2 linked regions of the Styela clava genome follow. The protein of the gene in region 2 interacts with the protein of the main gene of each other region in a biochemical or structural test. Links are inferred from orthologs where the notes say so. Each region holds a gene or a part of one and is shown on either strand. Other genes may lie near its edges. The genes, in order: E3 ubiquitin-protein ligase SIAH1A-like and F-box-like/WD repeat-containing protein TBL1XR1.

Region 1 (8,895 bases), on a different chromosome or scaffold from region 2:
CTGTTACACATAGGCTATTATTTTGGGAAGATCAAAATATTTCTAGTTTTTCTAGATATTTATTAACCTGTGAAACCCATGCAACTGGGCACCATGCTCTATCACAGTGTTTCACAATCCACAGGTCGCCTGAAAATTTTATTAGGTCGCTTTTGTTTTATTTTATTGTTTGGTATTGAAGTGTTGCTCAATAGTATTACAGTGCAAACTTGATAACATCTAGTTTGCTTACGGTATATGCAATGATTGTTTTATAGCAATAATTTAACTTTGCAACCAATATAAATTTACAGTTAGAAATTGAGCATATTCTTGGGTAGCGAAGGATTTTACTAAATTTGTTCAGAAAGCCATGCCCACAAACTTTTATAGCGTCTCAGTAAATAAAAGTTAAAATACTCTTATTTAAACCACATTTTTCTATGAGAAATTCAGTATATACAAATTATGTATCTTCACTTTTTTCAGTTTTAACCCAATTTGATAAAGTTAAATAGCTTTTAAATGATATTTTGTGGCTAATGTTTCCACAAACAATTCCCGCATTGGAATAGATTGTTATGGAACAGTCAAATCCAAATAATCTACAATTCCAAAATAATATTTTCGAATATATTTTAAATTTGAATATATTCTTAAATTCCGAATTAAACAAAGATCACATTTAGTCCTTATATATTCAATGAGTTTTAAATTCTGGAATGCAAAATCGTGATAAATTCCATGCTTCGAATAATCCTATATTTTTTATAGTACACGAACACAACACACCAATAAAATGTGCCTAAAATTTCCAAATATTCATAAATGCAAACTATCTCATCTTATGCGTAGCACCGCAGATGAGAATTCTCTACTATAAAATTTATTATAAAGTTGAACCATACGTCTGACATAGAACAGTATTATAAAAAGAATTAATCTTGAGTTTCATTTATTGAAGTTAATTTATCAAGTTATCCAAAATCAAATTTCTCTACTTGTAGAATGAAAGTACACCTAACTTCACACGTATAGGATGCCAAAAAAATTGAACCCATTTATTCATTGATTACTTCTTCGAAAATTTTTTTAACATTCGAACTCCTGTTTGTGTAAGATTGTACCAAAAAGTTTCAGTAATGTGAGTAATCTAGGATCTTTGCACAAAAGGTATATGGTATCCTTCTTAGAAAAGGTTCCAAAGGACCTGGGTTGTTTTTTGGGTCGCCCTGCAACTTCAAATGAGAATAACAGTCTAGAACAAGCATGTCCAACCTTTTCAGTGTCGCAGGCCGCTTTCATGTGAGGCAATTCATTGCGGGCCGCAAACGTTTTCACCAAACTCAAAATACCATCCCAGTTCTGATTTACGTTAGAATTTGAGCGTCGCTAAATCGAACGCCTGGATTGCACAACACTTTTGCGAATTTTTGAACACAACATGCACACAAGGATCATGAACCATAAAGTTCAACTCAACTTTGGCGCAAAATTTTTGCAATAATGCAAATTGGCATAAAAAATAAAAAATGTCAGCAATATTTTTTCAACTAGTGCGAAACTTGCTTTTGTATGTCATTGCGCAACTGTTTAATATCAACAGGTAGTTTTGATACCGCACAACGTAACAGGCTCCTTAAATTGTCATTCGTCAGATTACTCCTATGCTTAGACCAGGGGTCGGCAACCTTTTGAACTCAGCCTGCCATTTTATGAATATTGAGCATCTTCGCGTGCCAAACTTGGTTTGCATAGTCAACTACCTGATAAAAACTACCGTTAAAAAAATTCCAAGTCTGCAATAAAATAAAATTTATTTTAGTACAATAAAAATTGATTGAATATACTTATCTTATATATCACCACGACTCGGGAAAAAGTCGCGTTTCTAACCTATAATATATAATATTAACACGAACATTTCCGACCGCAAGTAAAATAGAAAAATCCGCGCACAATTAACACATAGGCATTCAAGATTTTGCAATTTACAATGCCTAAAGAGCTGTCGCGGGCCAACTAGAACAAATTGTTTACGGTTTTATTTTTGATATTTTTAGTTGTCGCTGTTCAATGAAAAAATTTGTGTCGCCGTTTCACTCCTTTGTTTGACCTAAGCAACGCGCCAATGATTATTGTATAATACCTCTCAACAAATTCACAATTCTGGGCGAGTGAAAAAAGAAAGTAATTAAAATCGTTGTCGTTAAATAATTTTTTGGAATCAGGGAGAATAAACACCAACTTAAAGTGTTCACAGCCTAACACGCCACGCTGACAAAAACAATCGCGATTTTAGCAAAAAGCTGTATGAATAGTTGCCCAAAAGTGTGAATTGATAAATGAATATTCAATATTTCCCGATTTAACGGGCAAAAAGTAACCCAACAGTAATATGAAAAATCGCAAGTAGTTAAACGAGTAGTTTTAAGTAGCGAAGCGTTGTTTCCGACAGTAGCCAAATCTGGCACCGCTGCACCAAACATGCTCATCTACACTGATTTTCCATACAGATTCCGACCTATGATCAATAGTTTTTCCGAAAAAAGCGAAATGTGGCAACATTGCACCGCACATACTTAATTACACTGGTTTCCCGTACAGCAGGGGTCTCAAACTCGTGGCCCGCAGGACGATAGTTTGTGGCCCCCGCCTTGGTATGAAAGTTCAATGTTAGTGCGGTCCGTAAGTTACTCAGCTCAGTTAGAATGATTGATGCATTTAATATATGATCAGGACAAGTAGAGCAAAACAAAATATTTCAAAATCTATCCTCCGAAAGGCATATGCGGTACGGTAACCTACTAGTACCGTACCTGTAGCTGTAGGCATGATTATCGATGGACCTTCCCCGACCTGTGACCTCAACATTTTCGTTTTTATACTTCACCATTGCAAATTTCTTGTTGCTTATTTTAGGGGTGGCTTCACGAGTTGAAGCGTATAAACTGGGGTATATGTTGTAACCACTTGCTTCTTTTTGATTCAAAACATTCAACAACCTGTTTTTCAACAGTACCGGTAGAGAAGTTTAGCCTATTCTATCACAGTTATTTTTACACTAATTTTTGATTACTGCAATTAAGCTACGACGCCCAAGCAATGAATGATCAAAGAATGATCATTTGGTTCTTTGATTCATACTTGAATTTCTGAAACACAACCAAAAACTAACAAATAGCATGCAAAAACGAGGTAATGTTTACAAACATGCCTGAAAATCTTTCTGAGTGACAAGTCTCTGAGCGTTTGCGAAAACGTCTATTGTTACGTTACGTTTTGCGTCTTGCTGATTAGCCAATGTTACGGAATAAACAAGGAAGTAGGTGCTCGACGGAAGGTCTATCGCGGAATTACTTACATTTATGTTTTTGACATGTTTTGCGTATAGAAAAATAGAGAAAAAAATGTTTTATGCGATGCTTTTATTGTGGAAAATCTGATGCGGCCCGGACTCACTCAGACTCCGTTTCGGCGGCTTCCAGGTAAATTGAGTTTGAGACCCCTGCCGTACAGATTTCGGCTTTTGTCGATTGCAGTTAAATATTGCATGTTTTTCAATGAATTTGTCGAATTGTTAATTTTTGTTCAAATGTAGAATGTTTATCGAACTACTAAAAGAAATATCTGAATCTGCCTCAAATCACTTGGCGTGCCATGAGAAATCCTCTCGCGTGTCACAATTGGCACGCGTGCCAGGGGTTGCCGACCCCTGGCTCAGACTTTATAATTTTCAGTTTAGAAAAGAAGGATTTGCACAAATATGTTGTTCCTATCGCCGCCGCAATACGCATTGCCATTTGTCTCAGAATGGGAAACTCATCTCCATCGATATCTCTATCGTTGACTGTGGAATTGAAGTTTTCTATTTCTTTGAAACAAGCATTTCAGTTCGGTTTTTGATTGGATCAATTCAAGTTGCATGTATTCTGGGCCATCTTCTACTCGAATTTAAAATGAACACATAAAAATTTTAAAGAGACTGTCGAATTTTTGTAAGTAAGCGAATCTTTCTTCAAATGAGTTCAACAACTTTGCGACTTCGTCGCATTATTTATAAAAACTTCAAGTGGGCCACACGCGGCCCGCGGGTTGGACATCCCTGGTCTAGAAGTTGCACTACAAACAAACTGTCTATAAGTTGCAAATGAACAATTTACCTGTAAATTAGTGATAGATTTGTGAGTTGTCATCAGATGTGGCATTACTTGATCCAATGATCCTTGCCATTTACATGAGGCTCCGGGACACGGGCAAGAATAAGGCCTGTATTCGCATGTTTCTTCATGTTCAGACTTCTCTGTGTATATTAAAGTCGATTCACAGCCAGATGATACATATCTACACGGAAATAGTACAGAACTTGCAACTTTTTCCATTCCTAGATTTCTTATATTGCCCAAAGGTCCGCGACATGTTGGGCAGCATGTTAATTTAGGCCTGCAGGCCCCACAAACTAAATGTCCGCTTTGGCATTGCAAAATTGGAGGTAGGACATAGTCAAAACATACAGGACATTCAAATAAACTCGCTAAGTCATTATTTGAAGCTATAGTACCATCAGGTTTTCGTCCACTGACAGGCATATCCCCACTATTAGCTTTGGTTGTGTTAGAGGAACAAGTCTGCCGACTCATATTTTTTGGGTTTGGCATTACTAAGAATAATCCAAAGTGATGTCACATCATAGAACCATGCTGCACAAATGGCAGCAGGCTTTTTTCTGCAACTATCCAAATGTTTTTTTATATCTCTATACAAATTTAAAATATCTGTAAATTATTTATAAGAAAAGATGAATGTTTGATAATATTCTCACATTATATACGTAGAATGAATAGGGGAGGGATATTCTCCAAAACTTGATCATTTTCTTGAAGTTGAAATATTCGGGCCATGTTCACAACACGACATAAGTACTTTTAGTAGGCGTGGCAAAACTATTTTTGCATACGTTATTCCTAACCCCACCTGACTACGTCATTCAAAAATTACCTCACTACCATGTCACAGTAACATAATGAGGCCCTTCAAACTATACTAATGGTCATCCGAGACGCGCAGATGATTTCTCTCATTTTCTTGTCGTAATGATCCCAATATGAGATTCCCAATATGAGCTAGCGTTAGTGAGTTCATTAACGTTGGCAAATATGTCATTTCCGTCTATCACAGCTATACTTTGGCAAGCTGTTTGAGGTGATTGTGAGGTCGTAGTGACATAATCTTTGGATGACAAAACCAGGTAGCTGTAAATTCAATCAGTAGGTACCCATTGTACTTTAATTAAATTCATAAATACTTGATAACAACACTGCTACTAAGGAACCACACAGCTTGTCATAAGTCTGAGTTGTTCGGCAATGGCAGAATGGTATCGTATGTACAAAACAATGTAACAACTGAACAATGCTCAGCGGCAAGCATTAGGAATACACTCACTGCCGCAACTCTGATTACCCCGCGTATGTTCGCAGGTTGGAATCATGTGAGAGATATTTAGACTATATACAACAGTACAAGAAGATTGCTGGGCTCTTCAGTTTTTGCCGCCGTGGAGTGATTCATATAATCGGGGTCAGTTACAGCTTCATCCACCACCGAGTCCATACATCTGAATCAAACAACTGGCTAACTAATAATATAACCGACATGAATGGTCGGTTGGCATCTGTACCGGCAATACCTGGATACCAAACTCACCAAGGCCAGCGGTCTCACTCATATCGGGATCGTTGCGACGAGGAAAATAGCTTGCTCGATTTTGGGTGATTGTCTGCGCGTTTTGAACGACCATCCGTACGCTTTGTAGGCATTTTTACGCCACTGTGGTGTCTTAGTGACATATTTTTTTGGTGACATAGTCAGGTGGGGGTTAGGAATGACATAGGGTGGCTTACCCACTTTGCGGCCATGACCTATCTGCGACCATCAACATCATCAATTAAATTAAAGCCGAAAAAATTACCGAACCGCGACGATATTTCTCACACGTTATCGTCCACTTATCCCTCGTCCACCTACGGTGAAAAATTTAACGGGTTAGAAATATTGGTTTTTGTTTTATAGCGGTTTGAATGAAATCGTCCGCAGACTGGCTACACCACCCTATCTGCATATGCAAAAATTGTTGAGCCAGGCCAACTCTGCAACTAGACAACTGCTTTTATGATGCCATAATAAAACTTTGGCGATAAAGCAAACAACACAAAGCTTCCTTTATGAAGTCCAAATAAGACAAAATGAGGACATGCAAGCCAAAAATAAGGACGCAAGCTAAAAATAAGGACAAACCTTAGAAATAAGGACGATATGGAATCCCTGACTATACCAGACCCGAATTTATATATGCCCAGTCAGCCAGTGCCCCCTAACAGAAACATCACATAAACAGATACCGTAGTATAGTCACAAACTGTTCTGATGTTAATTTGAATAAAATTATGTTCACATTCACAGTACATCGCGATAATTCGATGAGGCAGCGTGATTAAAGTCTTCTGATAAAACTATCAAATATAGCCTACCGGCAGCCAGTACCGGTACCAAATTTCCACTAAAAACAGCAAACCCATATCAATAAGAACAAAACATTTACACGACCTCAGAACAAAACACAAAAGGTTAATACAGTAATATAAAAACCTTTGTCGTCAAGAAATCCGAATATCCCAACGGTTAGTGACTTATAATAAAAAATGAAAGAAAACAGTTGTTCGCACTGTGGGCGGTGAAGCGTGCGATAATGCTACTGTTTGACGTCACACATATGCTTTTGCTCCAAAGTGGATTTTCTTATTTATTCTGGGGAGAGGAAAGTCGATAAGACGGCTCAGTCATATAGCGTATCACTTACCAGTTTATGTCGGGTTAGCCAGTTGTTTGTTTCAGATACATGGATTTGATGGCGGAGGAAGACGTAAATGACTCGCGATTCCCGTAGATTGGTGGTTCCCAACCGCCGGTCCGCGAAACTTTTTTGCCGGTCCGCTAAAAATTTCGTTGTTTTTATGCCATATCAATCGCTTTACCGAAGACAGGGTTGCGTTTGTTTATTGCCCAATTTCTCTTCCGCCGGTTTATTGCGACGTCTTTCGCGACATCTTGGCGCCGATCACACTTTTCGCTCTTTCGGCTCCGATTCATCTCGAATGCGCTCCATCAAATCTCGCAAGATTCAGAAACCTAAAAGTCGGAACTCTTGATTAACTTTTCTTGATTAATATGACAATCCATATAAAACGGTATGCATATTTCTTTGTTTAAACCAAAAAAGAGATCCGCTGAGATCTTTTCAAGTATTAAGCAGGCACAGTAGGATTGAAACTGGTGCCAAGTTACCGACGACTTTGTCATTGTAATGTAAATTTTAGTGAAAAAGAAAAGCTGATTAAAATTGTGATCCTACTTTACAGTCCAGATTATAAAAAAAATCACTGTCTAAATTTTGGGTATCTCTTAATAATACCGAATACCCATCGCTAAGTAATCGAGCAATCAAACTGTTGTCAGTATTTTCAACCAGTTACTTATGCTTTACGCGAAAATAAAAAACATTCTCATCACTAGCTTGAAGCAAGGAAATTGGCTGCACGCAGCTGCAGAGCAACGTGTTTCAGAAACTGATTTGAGGCCTCGTCTGCAATCCTATATTTGAAACGAAACAGCAGCAAAATTCTGACTATAGTTAATTGTGTTTGTACGTGATTTGGTATGTTTTTTTTTCATGTCAAATGTTTTTGTGTGCCTTCTTACGCATAATGGGTGCACAGCACTGCATTTCATCACGCAAATATATGGTATTATTTTATGTTTCACCCATTTCAATTGTTGGCCGGCACATTATTTGATAGTTTTTCTTCGTGTGAAATGTTTTTAAGTGTGCCTTTTTTTGTCTAGAAGCATTTTTATTGCATTATATTACGAAAATATATGTTATTACTTTCTGTTCCGCTCATTTCATTTTATTGCCGTCCGCGAATATATTTAATTTTACCGGTCCGCCAGGGTAGAAAGGTTGGGAACCACTGCCAAAGATCACCCAATCACGCTTGTCGATTAGGATTAGATTTATGCCGGTAACTTCAGCTATCCTATGGCACTCGACATTCCGCTTTAGATTGCCTGCTCGTCAATCAAAATGAAAAGCAATTTATCAGGAACCAAAGAAAAACACATCAACATTTAAGAAATCAAGCAAACAATCAATCTTCAGTCTCGTGCAGTATGTCAATTAACAGAATTTTGACACAAAGATAGGTATCTGGACCAGAACTCAACTTCAACTCTTCAAGTGTAAAGCCTGAGTTCACGCTCGTGTATTTTTATTTTTCAAGCTTCAACTCCCGAATGCAACAATTCGCGTATATATACTTTTCTTTCTCAAGAATAAACGCCCAGAATTTTTGAATTTGTGTCTTCTTGTCAACGTATATATTAAAACTAAATGTTTTGTGTGTCAAACGGATCAGATGATGCACGGTTCATATACATGAACTGTGAATCTTAATGGTGAATTTGACGGAAGCTGACTTTGATGACCTTATGGCCGTATCGCTCCCTCCAGCCCAACGACTAACATACCGGTAAAATGTACCATAGAAACCACCAGACTAGCATTTGTGCTACATTTACGAGCGTTAGATTTCAACATACACCTACTTTGGTTTAGTTGTATTTTGGGTGGATTCGACCGACACGCTTGCTATAGTAATGAAGTCTAATCGATTGAAAAAATTTAGCTTTTTGGCTTGCGTTGGAGTCTTCCATTATTACTTATCGATCTTAAGATCGGTAAGTATGTTGATAGGTATTTGGCTGTCCGACTGTTAGATGCACGCGGTATCTCACGAAAGCTCCAAATTTTGCATGTGCATTCATCATATCTCGGACCAGAAGGCTATTGATTTGTCG
Region 2 (8,895 bases):
AATTTTTTTGAAATTTCCACAATTACATCACTTGAATAATGTCTGTACATACCCTGAAGCCAGAAGATCACAAGTTGGATTCCATGCACAAATAAAAACTTCAGAATCGTGCCCTCGTAAGACCGTGGCTTTATTCACCGATATTTTTATGTCATTAAAATTGGTTTCGACTTCCATCGGTTCCGTGTTATGAATTGAGTTAACTTCATTTATTGCTGTAGATATGAACAAATGTTAATTTTGAAACATTTAGCAGTATTTTCCAGCGAATACCGATTCAAGAAAACTGACAGTTATGGCACGTTATAACCCCAATTTCTGGTCCAAAGCTAATAATAAGCCGGCCCATCAAAAAATAAGCTGACCACAGAAATTAGGCCAAAAAATCTGCTTATTAGCTGTAAACATGGTAATGCTATATAATGGTATATTGATTGCTCTATTCACTCAAAGCAGGGTACTGAAGCCTTAACAGAGTGTATGAAGAGTATTCGTATAAGATTTCCATGCAAACAGTATCGCCTATCGCTAGATATCAGGGCCTTGTTCAGAGCGGAAGACAAGAGAGGAGCCGTATGAAAAAAAAAAAAAAAAGTACGAAGAGCATACAAAACGCTGTTAATTTATAACACAATCACAGGGCATCAAGTGGCACAAATTTTACCGAAAAACAACAAATCTTGTGGTACCCCGAAGAAATTTGAAAAAATATGAAAGCAATAGCTTTCCTAGGATACACTTTTTCCTTTTTTAATTTTTGCGAGATAGTGGAAAGTTGAAGGGAAGAGTGCTGTCCCAACAACTATATAAATACCATTTTAACAAAACGTTCAAATAACCTCATATCCAAATACATAAAATATAAATTGGGTACATAATATAAGGTGGATACATAAATATCAGTGGGTGCTCTCTGCTTCTGTTCAGAGATGAGTGAATAAGAATTGTACATAATCGATATAGCCTACCAGGAGACAAAATTTTTGTTCCAAAAAAAACAAAAACATTTTTACAGAAATAATCCATAGGTCTATTAATGTCTTGGGAAAGCTAGGCAACATACCACTAAAGATCAGATACAGGACTTTCATGTCTATATAATTGAACATCGTTTTGATTATCCGCCATTTCCACAAGAAATGCATTGGGAAGGATTCGGGGCCCTGTCTGACTTCTGATATGTTGTGAGCAACGAGGAAAAACGTCATGTCGTGCCTATGTTGCGACACTATGAATTTAGTTTTTCTCCAATTGGAAATGCCCTTATTCAGGATATATTCACTATTCCATATTCATAACTCTTATTTCAGAATCTATTTGGAACAGTGAAACATTACTCAAATTTAACCACGGCTGGTTGAAAATAAAATATGTAGTGAATTACCTAGACCATTTGTGCTGTTGGACTCTCCGTTAACTTGAGGCTCTTGTTTAATTGAGGTTGTTGAGGTTGCCGCGGTAACTACTGTTGATGTCATAATGGCATCAGTATTATTAACTGACGACTGTAAAGGAATGTTCGTCGTCGTGGAAACAGACGCATCACCACCGTCTTGTAACGCCATATCAACATTGTTAGTGTTTTTCGTTTCTTCAGCGTTTTTCTGTTGCTGAGCTCGAGCTTTTTCCTGCTCTTGTTGTAGTTTCTGAGCGGCCATTTTTTCTTTCAATTGTTGTTGTCTTGCCAGAACAACATCAGGCATAACTGCGTCAACTAATGATAGGCTTTCACTGAATCTTCCTTCAAATATCATCCCATCCTGAAAAAATAGTAGGGGTTCAAAAATGTATAATAACATTCCATCTCGAAAAAAAATGGGGAAAATAAAAAAAATTTGTATCATTACATCCCGCAAAAATATTGAGAGTTTAAAGTCCTAACATCCCATCCCACAAAAAGCAGGAGTTGAAAAAATTAATTGGAAATATACATCAGCAATACTGGTGGACTATCATATTGTTTTGGTAATATCCTTTTCAAGACATTACTACCTCAAGAAGGTCTAAGAAAAGTTACCATGGAAATACCGAAGTTCGCGTACTCACTCGGAAGTGAAGAAGGCTCATCTCTTAGTTGCAAGCAACTAACTGAAATGCCAAGAGCCCCCAACTATGGATTTACGTGTCAGCAAATGAAGATTGTATGATACATAAAAATGACCTTTTTTACATTTCAAAAGGGAGGGCTCAGAGCCCCCTGAGCAATGTTCCCTCTAATTTTTTGTAGTATGTGTGCGCAGAAATTTTGGTGTGTGCGCACTTTTTTGGAAATGACTAATATTTGTGCAAAAACCAATGAAGAAATTTTGGCTTTCTAACCGGGTAATAAGTGGGCCAACAACAAACTTTCTCAACCTGCCAACCGAGCACATTGTTACATTACATCGAAATACGTCTGTGTGCAGTAAATCTATGCGTGGGCGCAGCACACGCGCACATCTTAGAGGGAACACTGCCCCTGAGTATGTCCCTGCCTTTCAGATTAGTCTTGTCTACAGCCTTTTTCATCACATAAATTTGAAATGTCACACAAAAAAACTATGTACCTCATTAATGCTGATCTCTGCTTCAACATATTGTAGGCCTTTCTGTATGATGGATATGAGAGCAGCTGATGGCACGAGGCCGCCATTGATGTTTGATTGACTGATATGGGACTCCAGACCGAATACAAACGCACTGTGGTGAAAACCTGGAAAAAGTGAAATGGGAATAAATGTTTTGGTCAGCGTTCCAAACCCTTTTTGTTACATTCCTTTTTTGGTACTCCCGTAGTGTGTGTACCGGGTTAGGGCATAATTTCATTCCGATTTTCCTTCTTTTAATTCTAGTATGAGTTCGGGGACTGTCAGTGTTAGCCAAGTGAATATACCCCCTGCCTATAGGTTCCAGTCCCTTTACACAACTTGAAGTAGGCGAACAATATTAGTTACCTCAATATGGCACACACACTTCTACAGCCCTAAATTTTCCCTCTGAAACAAATAATCCTTCCCCACCTCCAGAAACTATAACTTCCCATGAAAGTATGAAAAGCGATTTTGGTAAGCTTCTCCTACCATGGTTTTATAGAAAACAGGACCAATCAAAAGACTATTTATCAAATTTTCCCGTATTTTTATGTGAAACTCATTGTATACACATGGACTCCTATACGCTTCCTGCTGGACATTAATGACCCATTTTAGAATACATTCAAAAATCCAGACACAAAAATATAGGGTGTCCACCTTTAATTTTATAAATATTGAGAAGGGAATTATTCGATACAATATATTGTTTTGGCCCTCGCAGATGTATTAAATGAAGAGAAAATACTGATTAAAAATCAACAAACCTGGTTAAGATATATTGAGAACTGACTTCATAACAAAATTGATATTGTAAAGGGACTTTATGGACACCCTGTATTATTTCAGCAATCAGTGTGCACTGACTTTTGGCAAACTAGGAATCTACCAGTCCTGTAGTTTTGTAAGTGGTTAAAATATTTTTTCTCCGAAACAAGCCCTAAAGCAGCGGTTCCCAACCACCAAGGGCGCCACAGAGCAGGGGGTACACACAAAATTTTTTTTATATTTTTCTTTACAAACCTAGTTTCATTGCTTGATAAAAATATTGTGCACACTTTATTGTGCATGAATTGTTTAACATTTTAACAAATAACACTATAAATACCAATGGAATGATAAAACAAGGGAGCCACGAGCCATAAAAGGTCGAGAACCACTGCTCTACTACCAACATTGTTGCTAGATTGACAGCAGTATAAAAACCTTGGCTGCACGACAGAAATGTTTAAAACTAACTGAATATTCAAATTGATTCAAAATTGAATAATTTCATTTGAAAAATTATCATGTCAAGAGTATGAATAAAGACTCCTCCATATCTCTTCCTGAAAATTATAAAAAGTACAAGATCTACTGTGAAAATTTTCATATGTGTTAGGTTAGCTTAGATTTACCAATTACCATGATCTATGAAGCTTACTATTGAGACAACCCGGGCGATATCAAACTCTAATTATCTATGCGAATGTAGTCGTCTTTTGGCATGTATCTACTGATATTGGAACCCGGCCCAATTCCACAGATCAGAAATGTATACGGAAGTGGAAATTTCTCAGGAGTCAGCATTTCTGATTTTTAATAGTGATAATTGGAAATCTTCGACTGTAAATCTAAGCCTATTAGCCTATTTATTTTCCTTTTTAAAAAATTATATAATGCTTGCAAATGCTCAAAAGGTTCATGCTATCAAAAGTTGGTATTCTCATCAGACAATAAAAAACGCCTCGAATAATTTTTGTGATCAAAATATTTTGTTTTTACAGGCTCTTTTTGTGCCAAATAAATTCCACTGCCAAACATAATTGTCGTATTTGGATTTTTGAATCAAATCATTATATTTTAAGTAAATTTCTAAGTTTTTAGTTTCAATGTTTTTTTGTTTTTAATTAAATCCTATTATCTCAATTTTCTCTGACTTCACAACTAGAGCCAGAACTTCCTTCAACTTTGTTTCCGAGAACAGAATAAATATTTTCACTAAATCAATACCAGAGTGCATTTTAAATGGCTCAAGAGTCTTGTTTAGAATGCAAATTCGTCCAGACCAGTGGTGTGCTTCCCATAAGAGGGGCGTAGAAAATTATTTCTTGAGGGGAACATGAAGCTGATTATAAAAAAAGGTATATTTGTCAGATTTGATCTTGCTCGCCATATTTTGGATATTTACATTTCTTAATTGTTTTGAGATTGCAGAGAGCTGTTGTATCTTTATTTTAAAAACAGTGAAAAACCGTCTAAAAACACAAATAAACCTGCTAAAACGCCTAAAAACAGTGAGAAACAGTCTAAAAACACCAATAACCCTGCTAAAACGCTTAAAAACAGTGGAAAACCGTCTAAAAACACCAATAACCCTGCTAAAACGCTTAACATCATTGAAAAACCGTCTAAAAACACCAATAACCCTGCTACAACGCTTAAAAACAGTAAAAAACCGTCTAAAAACACCAATAACCCTGCTAAAACGTATGTAAAATGTATCCTTTTCATCCAGGTATTTTCAACAAGTTTTTTGAATTAGTTTCACCTTATTATCTATTATTTGTAGCTTATTGTTAGCTAGTTATTTCTGAGGTGTGGCTCGAGACTTGACAAATTCTGAAAGGGGGCGCAAATATTTAAGAACCACTGGTCGAGACCAAACAGCCCTTCTGAGAAAATGAGCATTGCTAAAAGTATTTTCGCTTTTACAATGTAGAAAAAAAGAATCAAAAAGAATCGTCACCTGACTCCTCCAGGTACCTATAGACCAGGAAGTTTACTTCATCCGACGTGATGCTCATATTTAACATGGAAGAAATTGCGATTTTCCAACGTCTATATGAAAAAAATTAGGATTTTTCAATCATTTGTGACGTTGTATAGTATATATCCAAAAGTTAGTTAGTAATCCATGCTTTTTCCTTCTGAATCAAAATATATCCAATTTTCTTTTTGATAAAACTGAAGAATATTTCCAATGATTTGACACTGTATATCCTAGTAGTGATTCTTTGAGTTGAAATTTCTGTTCCAGGCTAGTTTAGTAATATAAAAATCTGTTTGAAGAGAATGTTGGTTAGAATTATATAGAATCCGACAAAATTTTATAATTATTTTAATTTATATAAATTTTTTTGAAAGAATTCAAAGTTCTCATCCTACCTCTATAAAGAAATGGGAAGAGGTGAGTGGAGGTGGTTAATATAAGTAAATTTGGTATGACAAGGACATCGTGAGCAACATACATCACAGTTTTGGGTGGCCCTCAACCTACCTGTATAATGAAAACTTCCATAATCTGGTAAGTAATTACAAAATTTTCAACATGCAGGTAAAGTCGGTTAGAATTTGGGACGGTATGTGCCAGGCGATGTTTTTTCGGTTTATTGGACACAAAGTGGACCTATAGGTCATTTGGGTATTATGTTGTTGTTCTTGTTGGTATTTGTCATTTTGAAAAAAAATCGCTTCTTTCATTTACCGGAACAATTGCTTTGAAATTTTCAGTGGTTGAAGTTAGTATTTTCTGCTAGAAAGATATTACTTTTATTTGTTCCTAAATTTAATACAATTACAATTGAGCTGTGTTTTCCCCAGCCAAGATTTATGGTCATATTTTACTTCAAATTAGCATGGAACAAACATGGTACAATACTCTTTGACAAGCAGGAAACAATATTGAACTACTTTGCTAAGGAATGTTCAAATATTTGTTCCCGGATCAGGCAACGCCCTACAGACCAAATTTGAAATTCTATAGTGTGACTAAGGACGTACTACAATACTAGCAAGGGTGTAGTAAACTACCTGGTAGGTGGGCAAAGCCAAATAGGAAAAAAATTCCGGTAATTCCAAACTTGATTATATATTAGTAATAAATTACCGTATCTAAAGCCTTTAAAGTGAAAATGTGCAAAAAAACATGAAAATCATTCCAAGCATACCCAATTATTTCATTCATATTTGCAACTTCGTAATGTTCAAATTTGAAATCTTACTGTGTGTGACGTATATGAGGCACACATAACAAGGACATAATAAACTGAGTTGGCAATGATAATCTCCCGAAGATTTTAGTTCTTTCAAAATTAGTGACTCCTTTCAAAAAAATTATTCCAAATAATGGTCAATTTATTTCAAAATAATAGTAAAATTTCCTCAACATGAAATTTAATTGATTGAAGGGCATAGTAAAGTGGGTAGGCTATTCAAAACCTTGAAGATTCTGATTCTTTGCATTTCACAGAATATTTATCTGAAAACCTGTTTGAAGTAAAGATAGAAAAATTGCTAACAAAAAATTTAGTATAAATATTTCATTCATTGTCATAATATCAAAATAAATAACATTTGAGAATTATCATCTTTAATTAAAAATATATGTTTAAATTTTCTGTCAGCTGATCATTATAAAATATTGTTAATTTCCACTTACTAATTATTAAAATGTAAGGTACTACCAACAAAATATGGTAACGAAAATGGTTGATTTATAGCAAACAATTGGAAAGAATATCAGATCTGAACCGGTATCCATCAAAATGATAATAGAACTACTTTCAAAAAATTCTTGACAGTGTTTTCATATGTATATTATTTTTGAACTACAAACGAGAATATTGTTCAGAGACCAAAGACTTATCGATCGAAAGTTAGGGGATCCCCAAAACAGCACTCTTACGGTACCCCATAGTGACACTAATATATTAATAACACGCTAATTAAACCACATGATACATCCAAAATCACTGACTTCTGGTCCAACATATGATGAATGCACATGCAAAATCTGGAGCAGATTCAACCTCGCTTTCGTGAGATATCGCGTGCATCTAACAGACAGACAGACAAACACAGACAAATACCTATCAACATACTTACCGATTAAAATCGATAAGTAATAATTGATCACTGTGTCCAATTTTCAAAATTGTTAAATTCAAAATAAATTAAAATTCAGATATTAAAATGGCCGATAACACTATAGTAAAAATTGCCAATAACCTAATACAAATTCATCAAATGGTAAAAAAATTATGCTCCAATAAATTCTTGGCAGTGTTCCCATATGTGTATTATTTTTGAACTACAAATAAATGATCACTGTCTCACCATTTTCAAAATTATGTGAACTCGAATTTAATTAAAATTCAGATATTAAAATGGCCGATAACACTGTAGTAAAAATGGCCAATAATCTAATACAAATCCATCAAAATGGAAAGAACTACGTCAGAAATGACTTGGCAATGGTTTCATGTGTATTTTGTTTATGAACTGCAAATAGTAGGTCACTCTGTCCCCGTTTTTGAAAATTGTGTGACCTCAAATTTAATTAGACCTAGAAAAATAAAATTGCTGATAACACTGAAGTAAAAATTGCCAATAATCTAATACAAATCCATCAAATTGGAGAAAGATTTACATCCAAATATTCTTGGCAGTGTTTGCATATGTATTTTGATTATGAACCGCAAATAAAAGACCAATGCATCTCACATTTTTTAAAATTGTGTGTATTAAACCCAACATATTAAAATGGCCGATAACCCTATAGTAAAAATGACCAATCATATGACACAAATCCATCAAAATGGTGAACGAATTACATTCATAAAGTCTTTGGCAGTAATTCATAATATGTATCTGTATTTTAACTGCGATTGGGAGACCAGACCATTGTGCTGCTATTTCTCAATATGGACTGAAATTTAATTAAAATATTACAGTAAAATTGGCAAAATTATTTAATTATTTATTCGGGTATAAATTCATTGAATATGGCAGCAGAAATGCTTTAATAGTATTGTCTATGTCTTTAGATTAATTAGTTTATTAACTGCACTTAGAATAGATCGCTGTGTCTCCAATGTATGAACTCAAATTTATTTGAATCTAAGATATCAAAATGATTGATGACACGATGGTTAAATGATACAATGCTTTCAAAATGGTGACAAAATTATAAAAATTCTTGGCAAGTGTCTACATATGTATTTTGTTTTCGACAGCAAATTTCGCAAACTCAAGTTTAATTAAATTTATCATGTTAATATTGTAGGCAAGATTATTACATCAAAATGCATAAAAATTTCATCGATCATGGTGGCAGAGAGGATTCAACAACATTGGCAATGTCCTCAGTTTTTGGCAAGTCAGCGAATAATGATTTCATAATGAAACTAGAAGCCATTATGACTTCACAGAGCTCTTGTGACCTTTACCGCCAAAAAAACTGAGCCACGTACCGGGTGAAACCATTATTCTGACAAGAGGGGATGTTTTTGAAACCGCATTGATAAACAAACCAAGAATGAAAATAGATTTCTTTTACAATTTG

Evidence for each region.
Region 1: the proteins of F-box-like/WD repeat-containing protein TBL1XR1 (region 2) and E3 ubiquitin-protein ligase SIAH1A-like form a complex in vitro, tested with the Drosophila melanogaster proteins (2 studies listed by BioGRID). The link is inferred for Styela clava from reciprocal best matches to the Drosophila melanogaster genes ebi and sina.

Annotation. Positions count from the first base shown.
Region 1 is NC_135263.1:4,121,270-4,130,164, forward strand, and holds the start of E3 ubiquitin-protein ligase SIAH1A-like, read right to left. Parts: upstream 4,768-8,895; 5' UTR 4,638-4,767; coding exon 4,143-4,637; intron 1-4,142. UniProt on the Drosophila melanogaster protein: E3 ubiquitin-protein ligase that is required for specification of R7 photoreceptor cell fate in the eye by mediating the ubiquitination and subsequent proteasomal degradation of Tramtrack (ttk).
Region 2 is NC_135258.1:3,382,330-3,391,224, forward strand, and holds the start of F-box-like/WD repeat-containing protein TBL1XR1, read right to left. Parts: upstream 5,624-8,895; 5' UTR 5,366-5,623; coding exon 5,299-5,365; intron 2,693-5,298; coding exon 2,547-2,692; intron 1,761-2,546; coding exon 1,385-1,760; intron 216-1,384; coding exon 53-215; intron 1-52.